Linked DNA regions of Oryctolagus cuniculus. The protein of the gene in region 2 binds, or shares a complex with, the protein of the main gene of each other region. Links are inferred from orthologs where the notes say so. Each region holds a gene or a part of one and is shown on either strand. Other genes may lie near its edges.

Region 1 (5,109 bases), on a different chromosome or scaffold from region 2:
AAGGCAGTGGAAGATGGCCCAACTGCTTGGGCCATTGCCACCTGTGTGGGAGACCCAGATGAAGCTCCTGGCTCCTGGCTTTATCTGGTTAATCCCAGCCATTGAAGACATCTGGGTAGTGACCCAGAGGATAGAAAATCTCTCTGTCTCTCTCTTTCTCTGTACCTTTGGCTTTCAAATAAATAAATAAATAAATAAATCTTAGAAAAAAAAGAGTATTCCAATCTTCTGGTCATTGTCCCTCACCCTTAGTTAAAGCTGTTTTATAGAAGAAATAAGTGAAAACTCACCACTAAGAAAATTATAAATAATTGGGTTCGCAGCACTGTTGGCATAAACAAGCCAATGTGAAAATGTAAACCAGGCATAAACAGTCTCTCTGTCTTCTGTGTGGGTAAACATCCCAAATACTCTGTAGGAAAAGAAACAATAACAGAAAATACAGTGTGAGGGTGGAAAGTGCCTTTAAACCGTCAGATTCAAAGTGAGCAAGCCTGCAGTACTAACCACGGGCTGGTGTAACACATGATGGTCAGTGTGGAACAGAGTTTGTTTCCAAACAGAACCTTCATGGCACAATTAGTAATCAAAAGCTCAGTCAGGCTAGAGAAAAAGGATCACTTCGTCAGGCAAAGAGCAAATACAGTGCTTCTTGTAGACAAGAATACAGAAGTTGAATACATATCTTCCTTATTCCATTTTGTGTCTTAAACATAAACAATCTCGTGTTCAATGAGTATTATGTGGATCATTTCAAGAGCACTCACAATATGCATTCTATAAGTACTTCTTCCTAGTTTCATTTGCACAGGGATCAAAATATTATATGTTTAATTCCAACCTTCCTGGCTTTGTTGAAATTTGGCTTCTGGGAACTCTTTACACCCAAAGAATTATTATTTTCAGTAGGCATAACTCAGATAATTTGCTAAAATTCATGAGTTCTAAGTTTTTGTACAATATACTGAATGCCACAAAATATTTTATTGTGGCATCCTTAAGGGCTATCTTAAGTTTTGTTCCATAGTTAGAATATTTTATATATCAAATTCTATTCACTAACCTATTGCAGATAACTTACAGCTGGAAGTTTATAGGCCAAAGATTATAAGGGATTTCCTGTTGGAGGCTTCATCATTGATTATATGTTTTGTGTCCTATCTTAATGCTTTCTTTTGATAAGAAGGCATCTGATAAAAGTGCATCTCTGAAATGAAGCAATGCTCTACAGATAACTAGAGTTGTTTTTTTTTTTTTAATACAAACACTGTAAGACAGAATGGACAAATGAAATCCATCAGGTTATAACCCTTTACCCCAAAATAGCTTTGAAATCCTGGAAAAACTAGAACTGATTTAAGAAGTTGCTTTTGACTACTGTTTTTTGGTAAATTCAAGTTTCAAGGAAATTTCTTATGTGTGTGAAGAAGAAAAAAAAAACTTTACTATGTAAGGGCAACCCTAGACATAGTAATTTTAAAAAAAATGTATATGTTAAACTGAAAAACAATTTTCAAGATTATTTAAAAAATTTTTATTTTGTGGAAACAAGCAGAATGTTCACTAGATTGAAAATATTTAAAATTTAACACAAATTTTCTTAAAAGTTATTTATTTTCTTTGGAAAGGAGGATATTCAAGTCAGAAGTCTAAAAGAAATATTATATATGAGTAGGTATTCGGAAATCAGTAAAAGCAAAGTGCAAATGCTGAGATACAGGAATTCCAAATGAGCAATGCAGAGTAGTAAATGAAAATTGAATTTACACTGACTTAAAACAGTAAACGACAAAAAGAGAACTCATCTGGTCCCATAGCATGTTTTCTAGCTTCTTTTGTAAGGGCAGGAGACACAATCTAGAAAAGGACCATATTTGATCTGCATGGGATTTTTGTGAGCAAGAAAAAGTAAGAGGGGGAATATGAAAATATATGAAGGGCAAGATACTTATTTTCTTGTGAGCCAATATACATCTCAAGGATCTGAGTTGCCAAAAATCTTATACCTTTAAGACTGTGACTGCAGTAAGTAATATTGCTGAACAAAAGTTCATTTTCCAATTCTTCTCTACTGAAAAAAAAAAAAACCACTAAATAATCAAAAAACAGGGGCCAAAGAGAATGGAAGATCTTTGCAGCTGGTCATACCACCTTTATATTGACTCTCGCCAAAGCTGCCTCTCTCTAGAGTCCCCAGCTGTGAGGAATCTGATATTGACTCCAAAACAGGGAAAACTGAGAGGAGCAAGTCCAGGTTAAGTTTGAAGCCCATAATAAACAGAATTAGTATTGTCTTGGGAGCAATCCCTGTACAACAGTTTTGATAATTTCCAATAAAGTTGGCTGGCCATGCAGTTTTGTGTGTACCACTGCCTCTGCATCTGCTGTTCATGTCATTGTCTGATAATCTGAATTTAATAATTGCATCTGCAGCATAATGTATTACATACTTTCCTTCACTGAAAAATTTTGTGATGATTTTTATTAATATTCACCTTGAGCTTGATTCAGTAACTTGAGAAAATGGATTTTCTCTCTTTTTGTTTATATATTCAAAACACAGCATTATCTTTGATTACTTTTTTTTTCTTTAGAGCTTAAAAACAAAACATTCTTATCTCTTTATCTTTAGATAGAATTTTGTCACAATTGCCTATGACTTTGAGGACAAAGTTTTGGAAATCCTATTTGTTCTCATCAAAAAAAGAACTCCAAGATGCAAAGCAGTTTTTCTTTTCTTTTTTTCTTTGCATAAAAATTTTCACTGCATGGAAGGCTTAGCAATTAGCTTCAAGAGTTTGGAGGAACATCTGTTTTATGTCTGCCATTCAACAGAGAATCTGCATAGACAAGAGCATATGTCTGAGCACTTAAAAAGGCTGTTCACCTCACCTGTTGTTAACAACATAACTGGGCCATCTGGCCTGAGAAGGTATCTAGGCAAAAAGTGTATTTTCTCCTGGCTTGAAATAAAGTTATTAATGATGGACCGAGAAATGATAAACCACTTCATTTCCAAATAGATAAGTTTTACCTTTTTAGCACATTTAGGATGCTAATTGGTAGATAGCAAATTGCAAACACCAAAAGCACGACCATTAACATCCGGGCTGTTTTCCTTCTGGCTCGGATCTGTTTTATTTCAGCAGCCACAGCGCTAATCCGGGACTTGGTCTGCTGTCCTGGCGCTCGAGACTGTGAAACGGGCTGCAAGGGCTTCCATTTTCTCTGAACTACAGATGATGTTCCAGGGATCTGAAAGGAGAGGGGATTCTTTGTTGCTATTTGACTTAGGAAAGTTCCACGTTGGAGAAGTAATTAGAAGACACAGGAAAGTGTGCCAGACACCGGAGGTCTGGGAGTTTTGAGTGCCTATTTCTCCAAAACGTTTGTGGAGTGGAATAGGTTTTTGGCTTTCCTTCAGTGGACAGCTAACTAGGTGTTTGGATGGAAACAAGCTAAAACAGCATAATTTTGTCAAGGTCTAAAGACAGTTGCAAATGGAAAAGGTGTTCCCTTATAAAAGGGGAAGTAAAAACTGGAGAAGGAGAATGTTAAATGGATGACAATCCTATTAGGAATTCTGGAGCGGCTCAGACACCTAAGGAAAGAAGGAAAACCTAGCTGGTAATGAAACAAATCACCCAAATGAGTTTGTTCCATGCTTCAACACTGCCATCTGCTGGCAGATGGAGAGGTAGACCTTAACTCCCTACTGTTTTCTGTGAGGTTTTCTGCTTCTCAGGCTTGTGTAAAGCAAACCTTTGAGTGAAACAAATACACTTAACTACTCTGTGCTTTTTAATATTTGAAGATATTAAATTGTCTGCAGCCGATTTTTGGTCAAGCCCTTTAAAATGCCCACAAAAACACGAGGAGTCCTTGTGATCTTATGTTAACATTTCAAATAACTAGAATTGGTAACAACAGTTACACAACTTGTACTTTTCCATCTCTTTTCAAAGTATCTGATAATAGCAGGGAGTCCCGCCAAGTATAATATTTTCTTAATTGTAAGCTCATGAAGATTGATAGGCTTTACTGAGCAAAACAATAAAATTCAGCATGTGTAATTTTTTCAAGAGGAAAATGTGCCAACGAGCATGCCGTAAGGCTGCCTTAGTTCTATTAAGATTATTCAGCTGTTACTTTTCTCCCTCTGCAGCAAGGCAGGACAGACCAATGTGTCCTTGTGGTCTTTCCAAATGGGTGTTAGATGGATTCTCTGCCTTTTACACCACAAAATCAAAGACTGTTAGATAATGTTTAACTTGAGAACAGAATTTTGCTTTGATGCCCATACAGATGAGTAAATGTGGTCTCCCTTTGACCATCTCCTCTCTTGAAGAAGAGGGAAATATCCTAACGAAAGATCTACCCTTAAATAGAAAGCATTCGACAAGCTATCTTCTCTTTATATCGTGCTATGTAGACCACACTTTCACATAGTGGCAGTCCAACCCAATCTTTTAATCTATTGGTTGGTGGGGGGCAAGGAGACAGCAATTGAGAATTCTTTCTCTTCTGTGACTCCAATTTTAGGACAGTAATTCTGTTTAATAACTGAGAAGCAACAATGAATGTTAGAAAGTTCCAGAAGAACTAGCATGAAAACTCTAAGTACACTAAATGGTCTTGTACTGCCTTTCTAAATGATCGCTGAGAGATCATTTGAACTTTAGTGACTCTATTATTAAGTGCTCCCTTGAAGGACAGAACCAATGTCCTGCATCTGGTGACTTTTGCAGCTATCAGAAATAGCTCCCATAAAGAGAAACTGTCATGGGGATCATAGGCATGGTTCTTAAATCAGAAAAACTAATGTAGTGATCCGCTTTTTACCTTACAATCTGCATAAGGACAGATATGTGTGACCTTACACTCATTTTGAGAATAAAATTCTCCACTGATAAGCTGTCCAGAGAAAGTAAGTGTCCAAAGAAACTGCACATAATGTTTAATAATTCTGAATGCATCCCTAAAATTAGCGTATAGCAAATCCCTTTATACAGATTTCACAGATCAAGAAAACACTGAAGATTAAATCAAGTATCCAAGCCAGTATCTTTAATAAGTGGCATGCCACATTTTGAGTTCTATCTGACTGCA
Region 2 (5,109 bases):
CCTCTGCCTACAACCCAGCTTCTGCTGTTGTATACTCTTAGAGGCAGCTGATGATGGGTCAAGTACTTGGGTCCCTACCACCAACATCGGAGACCTGGATTGAGCTTCAGGCACCTAGCTTTGGCCTAGCCCAGCCCTGGCTGTTGCATGCACTTTGAGAGTGATCCAATAAATAGAAGATGTGTCTCTCTCTCAAATAAAATAAAATAGGTTATTTTTGTTTGTTTGTTTCCCAAAACAAGAGCACTAAGGGGTAGGCATTTGGCCTAGCAGGAAAGACACACCCACATTCCATATTGGAGAGTCTGAGCTCAAGCCCCAGCACTGTTCCAATTCCAGCTTCCTGATAATGCACACCCTGGGAAGCAGGGGTGATGGTTCAAGCAGGTGGGTCCCTGCCTGCCATACGGCAATGTGGGATTGAGTTTTCAGCTCCAGTTTTACCCTGGACCAATCCTGGCTGTTACGAGCCTTTGAGGAACAAAGCAATGGATGAGAGCTTGCTGTGTCTCCCAAATAAAGAAACAGTATTTTTTACAGGGCACTGATATATTTAATAGCTTTTATATAAGAAAAACAAATGTGTAGTGTTGCATTTCACTTGACTGCACAGCCTGATTTTTAAAATATAAAACTCACATTTCTATCTATCCCTGTTCCCATTTTGTACTGAAGCTAATTAAAAACAATTGAGAATTTTAAAATTTATATTTAAAAAATTTTTCTGCATTGAAACACACAAGAAAATGACATGGCATCAGTATAGCATAACCTATGCGTAACAAAAATCACTACATGGGAGGAAGGGACACATGATGAAAAATGAGCCCTGGACGGCTATGGGCTGGCTTTATTTTCACTCGGGATGCAGACGGCAGATACAGGAAAGGCACAGTTGGCAGAGGGCAGGATGAAATGGACTCTCCATCGTCTCCTCTTTTTCAAGCCCCATCTGTGCTTCTTTACCAGATTTCTCTTGAATGATGCAAGCATAAAAGTCAGTGGAAAGTGACGGAACTTCAAATAATTCAGGCATGCATCAAGAATTTCTCAGAAAAACTTCTGGAAACACATCCCTCTCACTGCGTTTCATGCCCCACCCCAGAGAGTGGCTCTACTTGCCATCTCTTCGTCTTCAGCCAGGACCAGGTCATAGTCACTCAGTGCCACACAGAAGATGATGGCAGTCACTCCCTCGAAGCAGTGGATCCACTTCTTCCGTTCGGACCTCTGTCCTCCCACATCAAACATTCTGGAAGGGGAAACACAAGGAGCTGACGTGAATCACACATTCTGAAGGCCCAAGGAGCTCAGAGAGACCACAACAGAAGCTCCAAATAGTTAAATGGGAAGAAAGAAAAAAAAAAAAGGAGAAAGACTTTTTAGGAAGAAAACAATGTCACAGATTGGTTTTCTCAAGTGGGGAAATTTTTTGATTGAAGGGAGGATACCTCTAAACAAAACATCCTGGAAACACAAGACATTCATTAACATGAGAACATTAAAAGAACATGAAAGCATATGCAAATGAATGGACTGCACTGTGTGTAGACACAGAGGCATCACAAGAAGCCAGTGGGCATCGCAGACACCGAAGAGTGCACATTCAAAGTCAGGGAGCACTGCAGGCAGAGGAGGGGCTCCCCTCTTCCTATTATAAAACGCTTTCTCTCAGAGGACTTGGAGATAAAGGACAGCCCATTCCAGGTAAGAAAGTACAGGGCAACTAAATTACATCCACGTAGTGGCAAAGGGTTTTGTTACAAAAGGACAATTGTGGGGAGACTGCGTCGTGCCACAGTGGGTAAAGCCACCACTTGTGACACCAGCATCCCCATGAGAGCTCCAGTTTGAGTTCTGGCTGCTCCACTTCCCATCCAGCTCCCTGTGTCTGGGAAAGCAGAAGATGGCCCACGTATCTAGAGTCCTGACATCCATGTGGGAGACCTGGATGGAATTCCAGGCTCCTGACTTCAGGGTGGCCCAGCCCTGGTCATTATGGCCATTTGGGGAGTGACCCAGTAGATGGAAGACCTCTCTCTCTCTCTCTCTCTCTCTTCCTCTCTCTCTCTCTCTCTCTCATTCTCTTGCTGTAACTCTGCCTTTCAAATGAAGAATTAAATCTTAAAAAACACAAAAAAGTAAACCCATGGTGCAGAAAAAAATGGCATATTTGAAATATAAAGAAGTAAATATAAATAGCCTAGCAACTGAGAATGAAAAATTCAGTTTTTGTACAATATACAATAGTAAATCATTCTGTTAGTGAATGATGTAATAACACAATCATACAATATAAAAACAATGGTTTTTTTTTTCCTACAAGAGTTTATAAAGATAAGCAAAAGTTAAAATCCACAAAGATTATATTATGCAACCTAGAAATAATCGCTTATGTAAGAGAAGCACTATGCAAACTGGTACATTTTTAAAGGCTCCATTTATCTAGATGGTGCACTAATTAAAACAGTCCCTATTTAATTCCCAGGCAAAAAAGAATTTTCCCTATGGAGCACTATTGGCCTACAAACTGAATCTAGGCACATCAACTACTACTGTTACCTTTCCCATCATTTAAGTGGCCTTTATTTTAGCTTTGCCAGTACATTCAAGTATGCTATATTATTCTACTGCATGATAAGTAAAAATGGATAGCATACATAAAGGACAGTCAGTAACACAGACCAAAGAAGAAGAAAAGAAAATAAATTGATTTTAACTGGAAACCATTTATTAAATTGCTTAGGAACAAAACTTGGGGGAAAAAGTAACTTTACCAAAAAAAAAAAAAAAAAACCATATCTTAATCTTAGGAAACTTTTCCAACCAAATGTCATCTACTCTCTGTCTAGCCAATACAAAATAACAATCCCACCTGATCACTTGACATTTTCTCTGTGATGGTTGATTTTGTGTTGTCTTGGCTGGCTGACCACACCATTATTTAATCTCCAGGTACTGCCATGAAGGTATTTCATGAATGTGATTAACATTACAATAAGGGGTTAGCACTGTGGCGTGGTGGTTAGGGCTACAGCCTGCAGTGCCGGCATCCCAGATGGGCTCTGGTTTGAGACCTGGCTGCTCCACTTCTGATCCAGCTCTCTGCTATGGCCTGGGAAAGCAGTAGAAGATGGCCTAAGTCCTTGGGCCCCTACACCTACGTGGGAGACCTGGAAGAACCTCCTGGCTTCGGATTGGCACAGCTCCGGCCATTGTGGCCAACTGGGGAGTGAACCAGCGGATGGAAGACCTCTTTCTCTCTCTCTGCCTTTCCTCTCTCTCTGTGTAACTCTTTCAAGTAAATAAATAAATCTTTTAAAAAAATCTATAATAAGCCTACTTTAAGTCATGAGTTGGTCCTCAGTACCCGTGGATAGGCCACATGCCATCAGCTGAAGGGCCTTAAGAGCAAAACCTAAGGTTTCCACGGCAGAAACAAAATTCTTTCTAGCCCTGTAAAAGCACTCGTGTGTAAGGTGCCCAGCCTATCCTACAAACTAGGGCTTCCACAGTTACATGAGCCAATTCCTTGAAACAATCATAATTGACCAGTTCTGTTTCTCTGGAGAATGCAGAAAAACAAATGTGAGAGCCAAGAGAGAGGTGCTACTTTAACATATGCCTAAAAATGTGAAAGTGGCTTTGCAACTGGGTCATGGACAATAGCTGGAAGAATACTGAAGTACCTGGCAATTATTCTAAAGAGACAGTTGGTAGAACTGTGGACATTACAGGACATTCTGCTAAGAGCTCAGAAGGAAGAAGAGAGAAGAGAAGAAAAGCTACTGTCTTGGAGCACACAAGTATCATCACCAACAGTGTTGGGAGGTACGTGAATGTTACAGGTACTTTTAATGAGGTCTCAGATGTGAAAAACAAGTTGTTGCACCCTACAGAAAAGACAATCCTTGTTATAAAATGGCAAACAGCTGGCTGACTTGTGTTCTAGTATGGGGTGGAAGGGAGAATTTGTAAGTAATGAATTGGGTTGTGTGCATCTCATTGTAACTTTTTGTCTCATTTAACTTCTGAGAATAATTTCACTTATTGTTTGTATGATGGGTATTAAGTTCAAAATGAAGGAATTGTATATTATTATAATTTAAGAATTCATATTATCAGCTGTGACTTGGCATTTATGAGTAGGTTTTTTTTTCCAAAGAAAGCTTTTACTTAAGGAATACAAACTTCATGCATTTCATAAGTACAACTGTAGGAATATAGTGATTCTTCCCACCACACCCACCCTTCCACCCACATTCCCACCCCTCTTTTTCCTCCCTCTCCCATTCCCAGTCCCATTCTCCACTAAGATACATTTTCAGTTAACTTTATACACAGAAGACCAACTCTATACTAAAAGAGTTCAACAATTTTCATGAAAAAAAAAAAAAACTGTTTATGGGTAGTTTCTGTTTGGATTATTTAGTTTTAGTTAAAGAATCACAGTTTAACTTTACTGTTGCTGGATACAGAGATAAAACATTCTTTCTGATATGAAATTATTATAATACAGGAGAAAATTCCTTCTCTATAGTAGTATAATGCGAACACCATATGCAGTGCATGAGTTTAACATTCAGATATGGCTACCCGGCTTTGTACTAGTTGGTCTTGATCACAGTGGTGACAGATAACAGTCTAAGTTAGCATACCTTAGGATGTCCCTCACGGTCTACTGTAGCCTCTAAAATACCTTAGGGAAACTCACATTCATTCCTAATGGCGCTCATCAAAAGTGCCAGCTTTTCATATGAAGGAGAACATTCTATATTTTTGTTTATTAAAAAAAGGTTTGAAATTTTAAATACCAGTTGAAGTATGGAGGTGTTTCTAAGTCATATCTGGAAGAATAAGTGATGCTCTGTGCTTTATCTGCCTTGTCATTGAAAATGAAAGCAGCGATACCAATCGGTGTTTCTGCTAGTTATCTGAAGTTGCAGAGAAATCAATGCAAGGTTGGAACCACGCATTGGCAATGACAGTAATTTAGCAGAATTCAAATCCAAAATAAGAGAAAGTTTATCTGAAGTTGCAGAGAAATCTGTTTATCTTTAGTTTAGGAAATCAGAACAGTAACTACACCAGAGGCTTATAAAATTTGGC

Evidence for each region. Proteins that work in one complex are often made in the same cells at the same time.
Region 1: the proteins of GNAI1 (region 2) and HCRTR2 are in contact, whole or in part, in a cryo-EM structure (PDB 7SQO), measured with the Homo sapiens proteins. The link is inferred for Oryctolagus cuniculus from reciprocal best matches to the Homo sapiens genes GNAI1 and HCRTR2. Residues at the interface, in NP_002060.4 of Homo sapiens: Ala31, Arg32, Leu194, Phe336, Thr340, Asp341, Ile343, Ile344, Asn347, Leu348, Lys349, Asp350, Cys351, Gly352, Leu353, Phe354; in NP_001371201.1 of Homo sapiens: Thr89, Arg152, Ala155, Ile156, Pro159, Leu160, Met161, Phe162, Lys249, Gln254, Lys301, Thr302, Met305, Leu306, Ser368, Lys370.

The regions. Positions count from the first base shown.
Region 1 is NC_091436.1:114,251,271-114,256,379, forward strand, and holds part of HCRTR2 (orexin receptor type 2), read right to left. Parts: intron 3,256-5,109; coding exon 3,035-3,255; intron 413-3,034; coding exon 291-412; intron 1-290. UniProt on the Homo sapiens protein: Nonselective, high-affinity receptor for both orexin-A and orexin-B neuropeptides. Triggers an increase in cytoplasmic Ca(2+) levels in response to orexin-A binding.
Region 2 is NC_091434.1:144,905,759-144,910,867, reverse strand, and holds part of GNAI1 (guanine nucleotide-binding protein G(i) subunit alpha-1), read right to left. Parts: intron 1,253-5,109; coding exon 1,123-1,252; intron 1-1,122. UniProt on the Homo sapiens protein: Guanine nucleotide-binding proteins (G proteins) function as transducers downstream of G protein-coupled receptors (GPCRs) in numerous signaling cascades.